Linked DNA regions of Drosophila melanogaster. The protein of the gene in region 1 interacts with the protein of each later gene in a pairwise test. Each region holds a gene or a part of one and is shown in the gene's direction. Other genes may lie near its edges.

What was found. The genes of interacting proteins can lie anywhere in the genome.
Region 2: the proteins of CG8997 (region 1) and apt interact in a two-hybrid assay, tested with the Drosophila melanogaster proteins (one large-scale study listed by BioGRID).
Region 3: the proteins of CG8997 (region 1) and CG6220 interact in a two-hybrid assay, tested with the Drosophila melanogaster proteins (one large-scale study listed by BioGRID).

Annotation. Positions count from the first base shown.
Region 1 is NT_033779.5:13,843,383-13,847,267, reverse strand, and holds CG8997 (uncharacterized protein), read left to right. Parts: upstream 1-1,942; 5' UTR 1,943-2,005; coding exon 2,006-2,075; intron 2,076-2,139; coding exon 2,140-2,852; 3' UTR 2,853-3,353; downstream 3,354-3,885. Other genes in the region: CG7916 (uncharacterized protein), read right to left, coding at 1-93, 149-314, 385-490; CG33306 (uncharacterized protein), read left to right, coding at 3,562-3,640, 3,696-3,885.
Region 2 is NT_033778.4:23,595,044-23,600,083, forward strand, and holds apt (apontic), read left to right. Parts: upstream 1-1,548; 5' UTR 1,549-1,704; coding exon 1,705-1,755; intron 1,756-1,848; coding exon 1,849-1,954; intron 1,955-2,016; coding exon 2,017-2,277; intron 2,278-2,340; coding exon 2,341-2,587; intron 2,588-2,649; coding exon 2,650-3,484; 3' UTR 3,485-4,483; downstream 4,484-5,040. Other genes in the region: CG42560 (uncharacterized protein), read right to left, coding at 4,505-4,651, 4,714-4,777, 4,837-4,907; CG42559 (uncharacterized protein), read right to left, coding at 5,015-5,040.
Region 3 is NT_033778.4:13,691,150-13,695,265, reverse strand, and holds CG6220 (uncharacterized protein), read left to right. Parts: upstream 1-1,896; 5' UTR 1,897-1,990; coding exon 1,991-2,728; intron 2,729-2,964; coding exon 2,965-3,306; 3' UTR 3,307-3,559; downstream 3,560-4,116.

The DNA of each region.
Region 1 (3,885 bases):
ACCTTCTTGCTAAAGGTGTAGCTGACCTTCATCTTCTTGATCTCCATGCCTTCCAGGCCATCGAAACGGAAGCGCAGGAACTGCAGCAGGGTACTAAGGATGACTATTAGATCCACTGATACAATCACTCCAATTAATTATAACTCACTCGACAACCGACTCGGCCAAGTGGATGCGGAGATCAGCATTGGTGTAGGGATCCAGTGGTGGAATTCCATATTGGGGCCAACCACAAGGCATTTGGTTCAGCAGTCCATTGATGGCCTTCTTCACCGATCCGTTCAAGATCAGACCCTGAGTATCGGGCTTGGCGGCTGTTTGCGGGGAATCACATTGCAATTAGTCCTCTGTTTGGTCAGGTGATGGATGGCTTAAGACACTTACGATTACGCGCCACCAGCTGGTCCCATTGCTCCTCGGTGAGCAGCTCCACATCGTAGGCCGCTACGCAGGCCAAAAGGGTCACAAAAACACAAACGATAGCTTTCATTGTATAGCCAGCCACCTGATTGATTGTCCCAGCCGGTCAGTGGCTTTTATAGCAAAGCTAGCGGATTCGAAGGGCAAGCCGAGGGGAAGGGAAGGGATCACTTAACCAGGTTAACAAATACAAATGCTAATCGCTACTTTTGATTAGCGGAGCTGCCATGAACATAACGCCCAATTCACGATAGGCTTCCGATTTAAAAACGAAGGAATCAAATCATTCGGCAAGTGGTTTGTAAAAAAAGGGAGCACTTGTTTCGCCTGAGTGGCTTGTTTTGGCCTAATCTCGACGTCCAATTGGCCAATCGATTGTCAATATCACTTAAAGAATATATATTGCCTATCATTGCGATCTGGATTATACACAAATAACTGGTCTACCGGGGGTAAAACTGCGTCAACCACTCCATGCAGGTGTCGGCGGATTACACTGGATGACCGATTCGTATCACTCAGTGGGGGTAAATTCTTTTGTCTTCAGAGCTTCAGTGGCTTTTTTGTACTCTTTAGAACCTTAAAGGCGTACTAAAAAGTGATTTATTGCTATTCTGATTACGATTTTACAAGGGGAACTAACACAATGGGTAAACTACTTATTGATAAACATATTGGGCTAGGACTGGCGTTAACTTTAAAGCCAATAATTCGTTAAGAGAGTATTTGACTAGCCATCAGGTGTTAATCGTCTGGATTTTTTTATTAATAGATCCATTCGTAAGACCTTTAAATACCCCAGTCGAGATATCATTCATAAATCACTCAATGCACTTAAAAATCACTTGATTGTTAATCAATAAACAAACTTTTCGCAGACTTTAGATCCGCAGAAGTGCATGGAGAATTTTAATTCCAAACAGACTTCTTTAGAAGATTATAATCATGCTAAATTTTTGGTAGTCGTTTTCAATTTTGATAATTACTTTGTTAAAATGTTTCCTATTGGCTTCAACACCTGCATGACCTTAAAATATCGATTGATGGAAAGTTTTCGTAAGACCATACATTTAATGTATGAGTACTCTGTAATCGCGAAACTAATGATTTTAAAATCTTGTTTCCAAGTCAACCACTAATCCTACACCTTCTTTTTTAGAAAACGTTTTAGAAAAACACACTTTTTTGAAGCCTTCTAACCATAACAAAGCGGGGACACACCCCAAATAGACTTTGATCTTGACACTCCTCCACAAGAAGGCAATGTTTGTACTTTAGTGAAAACTGTCTTTTTAAATCTGATCATTTCCTTAGGATAAGTACCCCCATGTATGTATATATAACTAATCATTAAAATTAAAAAATTTGCCAACCGGGGAATCGTTGGCCGAGATAAGACAGCAATAGGCCATCGATTGAACGCCCGGTGGCTAATCAAATCGTTCACGAGTACGAAGCCACCTTATCACAACCCCACCTGAAATGTTGATCGTCTATAAAAAGCGACTCGTGCGACCGGACGACTGAGTAGTATAAATACCGTAGGTACTACGATCAGTCGGTAGGACTCTCAGTCAAAGCAATAATGAAAATCTTCGTGGCTATTTTGGCTTTTGTGGCCGTTGCCAGTGCGGCTTCCATGGGCCAGCCCATTGGTGAGTATTCCAGATGATTTCCAATGCCCAAATATTTAGCATACCTATCCATTTGATTCTCTAGAAACCCAGTCGATCTCCAGCACGATTGTGGATGTGATCGAGGGCATTAAGGAGCAGATGCCCTGTGGCTTTACCAGTGTCGGCCTGCCGCCATTGGCTCCTCTTAGAATTGACCATCAGGATATCAACATCGATAGCAGCGTGCTGAAGGCTCAGGGAACCATTGATCACTTCCGCCTGAACGGTCTGAATGATTTTGATATCGATGAGATGAAGGTCAACGCCATCACCAGCAAGGTGACCTACAAGTTCACTTTCCGCGACGTGAACGTGGATACCCAATACGATTTGAGTGTGCTGCTAAAGAAGTACGGATTTACCATCAATCTGATCGGTGCCGGACATGCCAAATTCGCCATCAAGGATATGGTTATCTGGGGCACTATGAAGTACTCACTCGGCGTGATCAGCGGCAACCTGAAGCTGAAGTCATTGGAGGTCCGCACCCACTTGGGTGAGGTTGATTCCGAGATCGAGGGCATCCTGGGCGATGGCAGCATCAACGAGAAGATGAATGAGTACTTGGCCGAGGCCGTGGAGCTGGCCATCAATGAGAACGAAGATCTGATTGCCGATACCATCGAGAGTATTGCCCTGCCCGCCGTCAACAGCGTTCTGGACGACATCAGCATCGCCGAGATCATCTCCGGTGCCGGTGGTGATGGTGAGGGTGGAGAGAAGGAGGCCTGCATTCCCCCCGAGTTCGAGTGGTAAACAAATCATCGGTCATTAAACAACCGTTTATGAATCAAGAATTCGTCACCTGGCTCTTTTCTTGCGGGACTGGCTTTCGGTGGGTTTTTTTTTGTTCATTGCATTGGGAAATTTAAACGATGTTTTAAAAAGCTTAATATTTACAACATCCATCAGCTTTCATTATATTTCAAAGACGGTCTAATCTCAAGTTGTGTCCTATCTGTCATAAAACACTTTGCCAAATTATTTGCCGATTAATAAAGCTACTTCACATGCACAGAAAAAAAATGTAGATTCATACAAAATAATATAATAAGATATAGCGATTTTCAGAATATGATTTTTATATCAAAGGGAATATCTTAGAGCACTGTACTCAATACCTCACCATTTTGTGTCAATAAACAATAATTTTGATATGAGAGGAATGCCCCTAATATTTCTTTAAACCTTTATAAACACTAATTATTTAAGAATAAATAACAAATTGTTCCATATTTCAACCATGTTTTTGTAAATATAAGCCAAGAAAGCATTCACTGTTTATTCACTGTACATAGAAGTTTTCCTAATATTAAAATTTTTTAATCTAGACACTGATATTTTTGTGCTGTGTACCGATAGATTATCTCAATGGTCATTTTCCTATATAAGAGGAATGGATTTGGCAAGCTTCGACTAGTGGATTTTGATTGCCAAAAGGGTTAACTAGTGTTCTGTGCTAAGAATGAAGTCTGCATTCCTGATTGCGCTTATCGTGGCCCTGGCCAGCTGTCAAGGTGCCGAAGTTGCCGAACCTTTGTCAGGTGAGAATATGAAGAAAATTTTAGGGAAAATTTAATAATCATAGTTAATTTTCAGCCCAAGGACGCTCTTTCTCCAGCGTAATTGTGGACGGATTGGAGGCATTCAGGGTCGTCCTGCAAAATGGTAGCCCGAGATTTGGAATCCCCGTTATGGCACCCATGAAGGCGGCGCAGAGGTCGTTCGAAATCAACTCGGGAGAATTCAGTGGCACCTTTGGAGTCGAGAACTTTGAACTTCAGGGGCT
Region 2 (5,040 bases), on another chromosome or scaffold:
CCTGGAGAGCAGCGCGTTCTTTCGGGCACAGAATTTCACAGTTGGCATCTTCGAACTTCATCTTTGACTAACTTGGCTGGAGCCCCACCCTGGCGAATAATTGGCACTCGCCTCGAATTTAAATGATTCTGGCATTCCTTGAATGCACTGACAGAAACTCTGGCATCTCATGGGCTTGAAAGTACGAGAACCTCCCATTGAAGAATCTATTGATTTCTCAAATCAGCATATCGTTTTCTCTGCGTGTATCTTCCCAAAAGGAGCGGTTTAACCACCCCGCAGCTCATGACTAAAATTTAAACAGCTCCATAATAGTCGGCCGTAATAATTAATTGTTTGCTAATAAATATGAGTTTATATATGTATATAGGAAGAGCTCAAATAATAAAAAATAATAAGCGCACGCGCCGCGTCTCCAATGACTAAGTCTCCTTTCAGTCTTCGAGTACGCGATAAATGCGAATGTACATATATACGTATGTATCTAGATACGTAGTTCGAGTGTACGAGGTACACATACGAGTGCCGAGTATAAGTATAAATTGTAAATCAGATACGGCATAAATATTGAACACATGGCGCAGTAGTTTATACACCCAAGAGTTGTGGGTGTTCGATGGCTGCAGGGGGGGTGGGGGTGGGGTAGTTGAGGGGCACGGAAGGAACTGAACAAAATTGAAATAAAATAAAGCACCATAAAACGTACTTAAGATTGACGATTGTGTTTTTTGGGGGAGCGATCAATGAAAGAGTTTCGATGAAGACAATATATGGCAAGTACAGTTGAGCTCTTTTTTGGATTTGGGCATTCGTGTTGTCTGCAAAGGGTTATTGATAATTCTATGCTCTTCCCAATTTAGTTAATATTCTTTTATTACTAAATTATGAGGGAATTTTTGTGTCTGATTTCGAGACGGGGGAACAATCGAAGGAGCCAGAAAGCGACCGAAGAACGCGTTGAGTAAATGCACATTCTGGAATATTTATATAGTACATTTGAATATATATGTACTTGATTAGATATAATTGGCTGTCAGTATGTCTCTTGATCGCTCCACTCAATCGCACCAATACTCGGATTCGGATACCGAGCAACCGCACAGATACATTTTCGAAACAAACAAAATGTCGGCAGCTGCTTGTTGTGTTAGCTTATAAATTAAAACGCGTTTCATGGCATTATTATTTGATGGTTTTTTACTTTTTTTTTTTTCGTCTTATGGCTGCTCAATTCATTCGATTGTTCGTATATTCACATTCTTTTTAGCCCATTCGTACCCATATACCCCCGATATCGCTCACACCTCCTTCCCCCCCTTCTCCGCTCGGTTCATCTGTCCGCCTGTCTGCTAATTGAAAATCAATTAATGTGACTGCATCCTATAGCTGCTCATGTCAAAGTCAGATATCATCCAGGGTAGGGTAAATTCGATGGAATAAGGGAATGAAAACAAGAGAAGGAATTCAAGACTCAACGACTCAGATTCAGAATCCGAATCAGAATCCTTTTGTTTTCACTGACCTTACTGTCTGAAAACAAAAACCCAATTGATGTGCCCCAAGTAACACTCTGATAATTACCGAAAAACTCCAAATTTTTCGATTGCTTTCGACTTTGGCAGTATTCATCGCCAAGTTCATTGGGTTTTCGAGTGCGTCCCGCGAATCGCTTTCGTTTGGTGCGGAATTTGGCACAAGTTTTGTATGCTCAACTACTGGGAAGGCCAATCTGGGGCTTCTAATTCCACTGTGCGGGTAATTTGGGGACTCTTGCCAGTTACTAGTTACCTCCCAATACGAATCACTGATTTCTCACCTCCTGCCACTCGCTTCTTGCTTCCGTTGCAGGTCAACAAACAGTATTCGGCCACCGATCTGGAGGCTTTTATGAAGATTGCCGCCAACTGGCAAAATTCCAATCACAACTTGCTGGAGGGCGTCGACATAAAGACGGGTAAGTTAAACAAAACGAAGTGACCGTTGAAGGAACTTAATTCAATCATCGAATGCTTGCAGAAATGACACAGTACATGAACAGTCCTTCCATGAACATGTACAAGAAGAGGGAACGCACCCAGAACTGGAACCACCAGGAGAAGAAATACCTACTCGATCTGTGTCGCAAGGACATGCGCATTATCGAGAACAAGAGATTGGATGCCGGTCTGACCGCCGTGAAGAACAAGGCATGGAAGATTATCCACCAGAAGTTCTCCAATCAGTTTGGCACCGATCGCACCTGCAATCGCCTGAAGGAACAGTGGCGTCGCATGAAGGGTAAGTCTTTATAAAATACATATATTTAATGGCAAAGCTAACCTTTTCGATCTCATCCTTTAGCATGTACTCGCAACGAGATCCTGGACTACAATAATCGCCTGGCCAGGTTTGGAGCAGAGGTGGCCGATCGCAAGAAGCCATCTCCGTTCACCTTCGAGGTGTGGGATTTCATGCAGGAGGCGAAGAAGGCATGCAAATCGGAGGCCCTGGATGGCATTGATTACTCTAAGATTCCACTGGCCTTGGAGGAGGGTTTTGAGTATCGTGAGGATTACAAATTCAATCCCGAAGACCACGACATGGATGAGTAAGTTGATCGCTATGTGGTAGTCTGAATAGATCTTTATTGAGCATTCTCTATTTGAGCAGCAGCCGCACACCGCCGCAGGAACTGTGCGATGTGGACATCAAGGAGGAGGAGAACAACGAGACCTTCAACGAGACCTTCAACCATCACCACCTCAACCAGAGCGACATCCTTGGCAGCGGCGAGCGTCTCAGTGTGTCGCCTAATCACAGCATCAGTCGCAACGGGATCCACGAGGCCGAGAGTCCCGCCACGATTTCCACATCTAATGTCCTGGACTCGAGCGGTGCCTATATGGCCGGAGGAGGTGACATGTCCGGCTTCCAGGCCAACTTCAACATGAACAACATATCCGCCACGCTGGAGGCACTGAATGCCCTCCGTTCTGGCCAATTTCCCAGTGCAGCAGCAGCGGCAGCGGCCGCCATTCACCAGCACCAGGCACAGGCCCAGGTCGCCATGCATCACCAGCACAATAACAACAACAACAATAACAACAACAACGAGGACGACGAGGACAGCATGAAGCCGCAGTCTAAGAGACAGCGCACCAGCAGTGGTAGCATGTTGGGCAGCGAGGATCAGGCACCAGTCCTGGCCCCATCAGTGCCAGCATCCTCGGACTCGCAGGCCCTAGAGCGGTCCGGCAGCAGCAATGGATTGACCATGCCGGGAACGGCAGTCAGCACCAATGCCAACAGCAGCAGCAGCAACAACAACAACTTTGAGCTGCGCATGTTCATGGAGATGCAGAGCAAGGAGCACATGATGCGCATGAAGATCCTGGAGGTGCAGTTGCAGGCGGCAAAGCACAGTCGCGACCTAGTGGAGATCAACAAGACACTGGCGCTGCAGAAGCTGCAGTTGGAGCTGGCCAGCAAGCGACTGCCCAGTTAGGAGGCAGTGCAGCAGCAAAAGGAGCAGCAGCAGCAACAGCAGCAGCAGCCCATCGCCGTTTCATGTTACATTAGTTTATAGAAATAAAGCCTGTCAACTCGGTCACGTTCGCAGGCAGAGAGCGTGATTGGGAATCGACTAGAGTTAGCACTAGAGTTAGTCTTAAGTTGAAAGCAGGATCCACAGCTACACATCCAGACCCGACACACAGAGAGACATTCCTGGCATTGTTGATCAGTATTTGAAAGCTAGAAGCGAAACCCGACACACAGAACCGAACCCAAGAACCCCAGCGAGGATCAGGAGGCGCTCGGAAGTATGCCATAATCTTATGATGATGATGACGATGATGATGATGAATCGCCTACCTCACAAGCACACACACACACACACACACAATATGCACACACTCAGCTAGCAGACACACACACACAGACACACTCTCTTCTGGCCTAACCAGCACTTGACCAAGTCAAGTCAAGTTTAGTTAGTTTCTAGTTTTAGTTCGTATGGGAACCACTCTCTCCAAGTTGCTCAACTACCACAAATGTATTGTACTTACGTTCTTGACCTCTGCTACCCCACAACTAACGATTTGAACGAACATGAAATGCACACAAGATTATTTTTCATAGTCCTAAGAGAAGAACCTTATATATGTCAATGCATCATACACAATCGGCAGTTGTCTCTGATTTTGATTCTTACTTGAACTTGTATTTATTTGTATCTTTGTATAGACTATGTTGATATATATATGACCCTATATATGTTTGTTTCAATGCCATATTACATGAAAGTTCTTTTTAATTCATATTTTCCGTTTGCGCTGCAAAACAAATTGTTACCATATATAATATATGATATGTATGTACCCTACGTATAAGCAGGCTTGAAGAAGGCCGCCAACTCGGCTTCAGTTGTCGTAGAAGACTTCTTTGTAAAGCGTGTAAATGAGAGATACAAATTATTTTAAATAAAATACAAAACAAAACAAGCAAATGTTTCAGCTACACTTTATTAATTTTGTTCATGGTTCATCTGTGAGCCTTCGGTCTTGGTTTTTTCCAACGATTGTATCTGCTTATCCACCTTGATGATCTTTGTTGTGACTTCGTTCTTCTGGCTGAGAATCTTTTCTCGCAACGACTTCAGCTGTTCCCGTTGCTGGGTAAATTTGCAATTAAATTTAAATAGATTACTTTCGTTTTTTGAGATCACAAACCAACCAGTTTAAGGAAATGTATGTTCTCCTCCGCCCTGGCTTTTTCGAACAAATGCTTGGATATGTTCCTGGATACAGAGATGCATCTAATAAGCGAAGCCATAAGTGCTCAGAACACGGAACTCACTTGTTGGATTGTGAAAACTGACACATCCTGGGTCGCAACAGTTGGAAAAGCTTTTCGACCAACTTCAGCATTGTATCCTTACGGAGGAAGATAATTTGGAATTTACTATAGTAACTGATGAGGTATTTCAAGGTGGAATATTGACAAACTTAAAAGTGATAGCCTACCGTTTGATAGGTCATTTTTCGAGACTCTTTTTGAATT
Region 3 (4,116 bases), on another chromosome or scaffold:
GCAGCCTGCTCGTCCGCCGAGGGTCGTGTGCCGTAAACGGGCCAACGCTGCGGCTACGTATTAAAACGAGGGAGCCGCAAACAATAATTGGCCCTGGTTCGTTCGGGAGGGGAATTTTTGATGGCCTTGTCTTGTCACTGAGGCGAAATTAGTTGCCAGTTGGGATGTTGGGTGGGGCGATCGCCGAAGGCGAGTGAAACTCACTTTTTCCCATTTCCCTTCTGCCGGCTTTTCCTTGCTTTGATGCGATTCCATGCAGTTGGGTGCAAATCGCTGGCCAGCGATGATTTCATTTCCCCGCTGGCAGATGGTCTATGCGTGGTCGCATTCTTCTCTGATTAAATTTGAAGTTATGCACTCGCATCTCGTGTTCGCTCCGCTGATTCTTTGCAAAAAAGAATTGTGAATGGAAATTCTAAAAAGGGCATTCCCTATCTATGTCAGTAAGCCATTCTTTTCAATTTCAATTTTCCGCATTGTTTTCGGGTTTTTTCTGGTCATTCTGGTCGCTTTTTTTAAAGCTTCCCTCTCGCTACATGAAATATAAATCCGAAAAATGTGCCTGTCGTTCAAATACCGCCCATACCATAATGTATTTTTTTTTTCGCCATAATGCTATAAACTTAATTAGTGCTGAGCCGAATGAGCAATCAGATCATCCCGGCCATTCCCGTCGGTTTAATTAACACGCCAAAAGGCCGTAGACGTAAGGTGAGCCTTTCGGTTCATCGCGTTTTTTATGCCGCATTCTTAACGCGGCCGCGCCGAAAAAAAATGGAAAATATGCCGGGAAAAGGCAAGGCCCCGCCAGTTGGCAATACAATTTGCTGTGACAAATGCGGCCATAAACAAAAATGGCGACAACGATGCCGCTGCCGCAGCCGCCAATCCGCCATTCAGACATTTTCTAGTGCAGCGCCAGCGACAAAATGGCTGCCACAAGAGTCTGGATGAAAATTTCATTTCCCAAGCTGCGATGGCGATGGCGATGGCGATGGCAATGGCGGCGACCTTTCACGGTATTTATCACACGCGAAACGAAACCCGTCTACAATGCCACCCGCTCGTTTTCGTTTTTGGTAATGAAATTTCGCTTTAGCAATTACGGGCAACCCCTTCGGGCCATATACACATACATAAATACATATATAGCTGCGATAACTGGGGAATCCAGCCAGCTAATAGCTTTTGAGGCTAGCTGGCTCGCTGGCTGGAAGACTGGCTGACTCGATGGATGCATAAATTATGATGGGAACACGAGTGTCCTCCACCTCCCCATCACCCCTATTGCAGAAATCAATTTCAGGCTTCGGCGGCAAAACAAAGCGATGCTGTGGAAAAATGCAAGAAACAGCCGAGCGGAGGAAAACAGAAACAAAATTTATAAAAATATTTTCATGCCTTGCAGCTAAAATGTTATTAAAGTCAATAACATAAAGCCGGGACAATTCCTTTTGCCATGCTTTTACCAGGACGTGGGTGAGGGTGAAACTTTGTCAAATAAAAATAGCTTACAAATAAAAACAACTCGGGGCGGAAAAATAAAAAAAAAATATATAAATAGGAACGAAGAGGAGCGGGACGAACAACTGACCAAGGCAATGTAATAAAAATAAATAATGGCTTTGACAAAAAATAAACGATGGCAGCGAGAAAGTTTGAATATTTATGAGTTTTTTATGTGCCAACAAAGGAGGTGAGCCAAGAAAAATCGAGTTTGTACAGTGAAACTCATAACAAGGAGCAATTTGGCAATTTGAATTCATAGAATTTGACAGCATTTCATTTATCGAGCAACACGGTCATACTAATAGTATATGGCAATCGAAAATAGTTGGCTCTGAACTTTTAATCGTATCAAGTTTTAGTCATAAAATCATTTGCTGCAAGGTGTTGTCAGAATCGGAGTGCGTATCGTTAAAAAAAAAAATATATAAATTTTAACAAGCTCAAATTTGAGTGTGCGAATCAAGCGTGAAAAACAACCGAAATGGATCCTATTCTAAAGACCCTTACCGAGACCATGACCGTGGAGGCCATCGCAATCATCAAGGCCAAGCGCTTGGCGATGAAGCAGAGCGTCGATAAGAACGCCATGCAGATGAGGGCCCAGGAGCGGGAGAAGGGTCGTAATTTGGATAACATGCAAAAGGAACTGGGCAGGCGGGCCATGAAGCGGGAGCGACCGTGCCGCGTTTTCGAGGAGCAGCTGCTGGGCGAGAAGGAGATGACGACTGCTCAGGAATACCTCAAACTGGCTCACCATTCCATGATGCGTAGCTTGGACTCTACGGTGCCGGAATTATCACAGCTGGAAATGCCGCCCCCGCCGGAGATCATGACAGAGCCGCCTTGGCCAAAGACCAAGTACAATCGCTATGGCCAGGAGAAATTCCTCAAGGCACAGCAAGAGTTCGGCATAAATCCGCAGGGCAGCAACTTGGAGAATTGCGCGACTTTTCACGAAAGTCAAAAGGACAAGCGCAACCGATCTGTGAGTAGGGAAAGCATTGAAAGGTCGAGAAGCAACAGCAAGGATCGTCGCTCATCGAAGCTTTACGCACGAATGCCCATCATTGTGGTTCCGGATGCAATGACCAGCATGATCAGCCTGAACAATATCAAGACACTGCTCGAGGAGTTGCACTACGAGCCAGAGCGTAACGGCCGGCAGTCTAACCCTCCTGAGTGTCGGCCCAAGGAGGTCATAGTCGAGCATCGATTTCAGGTGGGTTAAAAAACTATAGTAGCTTGAAGTTTGTAAATTTACAGAGTTACTAAGTACGCTTCTCTTCGCTCTTCTACTTATTCCACTGATGCGGTGGAGAATAAGGAATTTTTCATTCTAAGTGCTTCGCTAATAGTTATGGCTAGCTGTATATGCCTTGGTATTGGTTGTTAGAATTTCTAATAAGTGCATGCCTGATCGATAGATTAATTACCTTTATGAAATGCAAATTTCAGAACGAGCTTGTTAGCTACCGGGTCATCGACAACGTGACCAACCTAACACCCGTCGAATGGGATCGGGTGGTCGCCGTGTTCGCCATGGGACCCAAGTGGCAATTCAAGGGCTGGCCGGATGGCGCTGACCCCGCCGCCATCTTCCACAAGGTCTGCGCCTTCCATCTGCACTTTAGGAATACGCCGATGTGCCCGGAGCTGACCAAGCTGCAGGTGCACTCACTGGCTCTCTCGCCCACCGAGCGCCATTCGGACAGCGGCATCATTATGGAGTTCTGGAACAGAGTGGACCGACACATGGCCGTCCATGCCCGTCAGTTTGCGTTTATCTGGCAAAAGTAGGGTTCTTGTGATTACATTCCCCCTGGCGCACATACATACATAGATGCCAGATAAGCAGGGAAATCAATAAGTGAAATTGAATAAGCCAGAACAAAGGACGAAGGACAAAGAGTGACAACACACACGCACACACACACACACACACACACACACACACACACACACACACACACACACACACACACACACACACACACACATGGGGCGTTGCTGCGTTAATAAAAATTGAGCGAAACGGGCGCATCAGAGAAATATATCACGTTTGTATAAAAATCATATAAAAACGTTGCGAAAACTGCAAACTTGGCAAGAAAATTAAGAGCACAAACAAGTTGGAAAATGGGGAAAATTCGGATGGTAGAGGCGGTCGGGAGCGGGGAAACTTGGCACGCGTGAGACAAAAGCTAAATGACACACAAAGGAGCAGTTGTGTGCGTGTGTAGCGCTGTACTTATGTAAGTCACTGTGCGTCCCACAAAACGTAAAGCTGTCAACGGCATTCAGCAGAGAGTGATGGTGAAAACAGAAAAATGGGGTGGCGATAAGAGCATGGGGCTCTATAAAAATCGCTGGGAAAATGACAATTTTTATGCACCACACCCACACATATACACACAGGGTAGAAAACACATGTGTGTGTCTAATGAAATAAACTAAGTGCCAAGGCATTTGCATGTGGGTGGTGGGGTTTTCGAGATGAAGCAATTGGCAGGCATTGCAGGCAAATGCACTAAGCGTTTTAACAGTAAAACAATAAATTTAGTTTCACGAAAGTCGATGAACTTGTGCTGTCTCATTCGCTACATATTT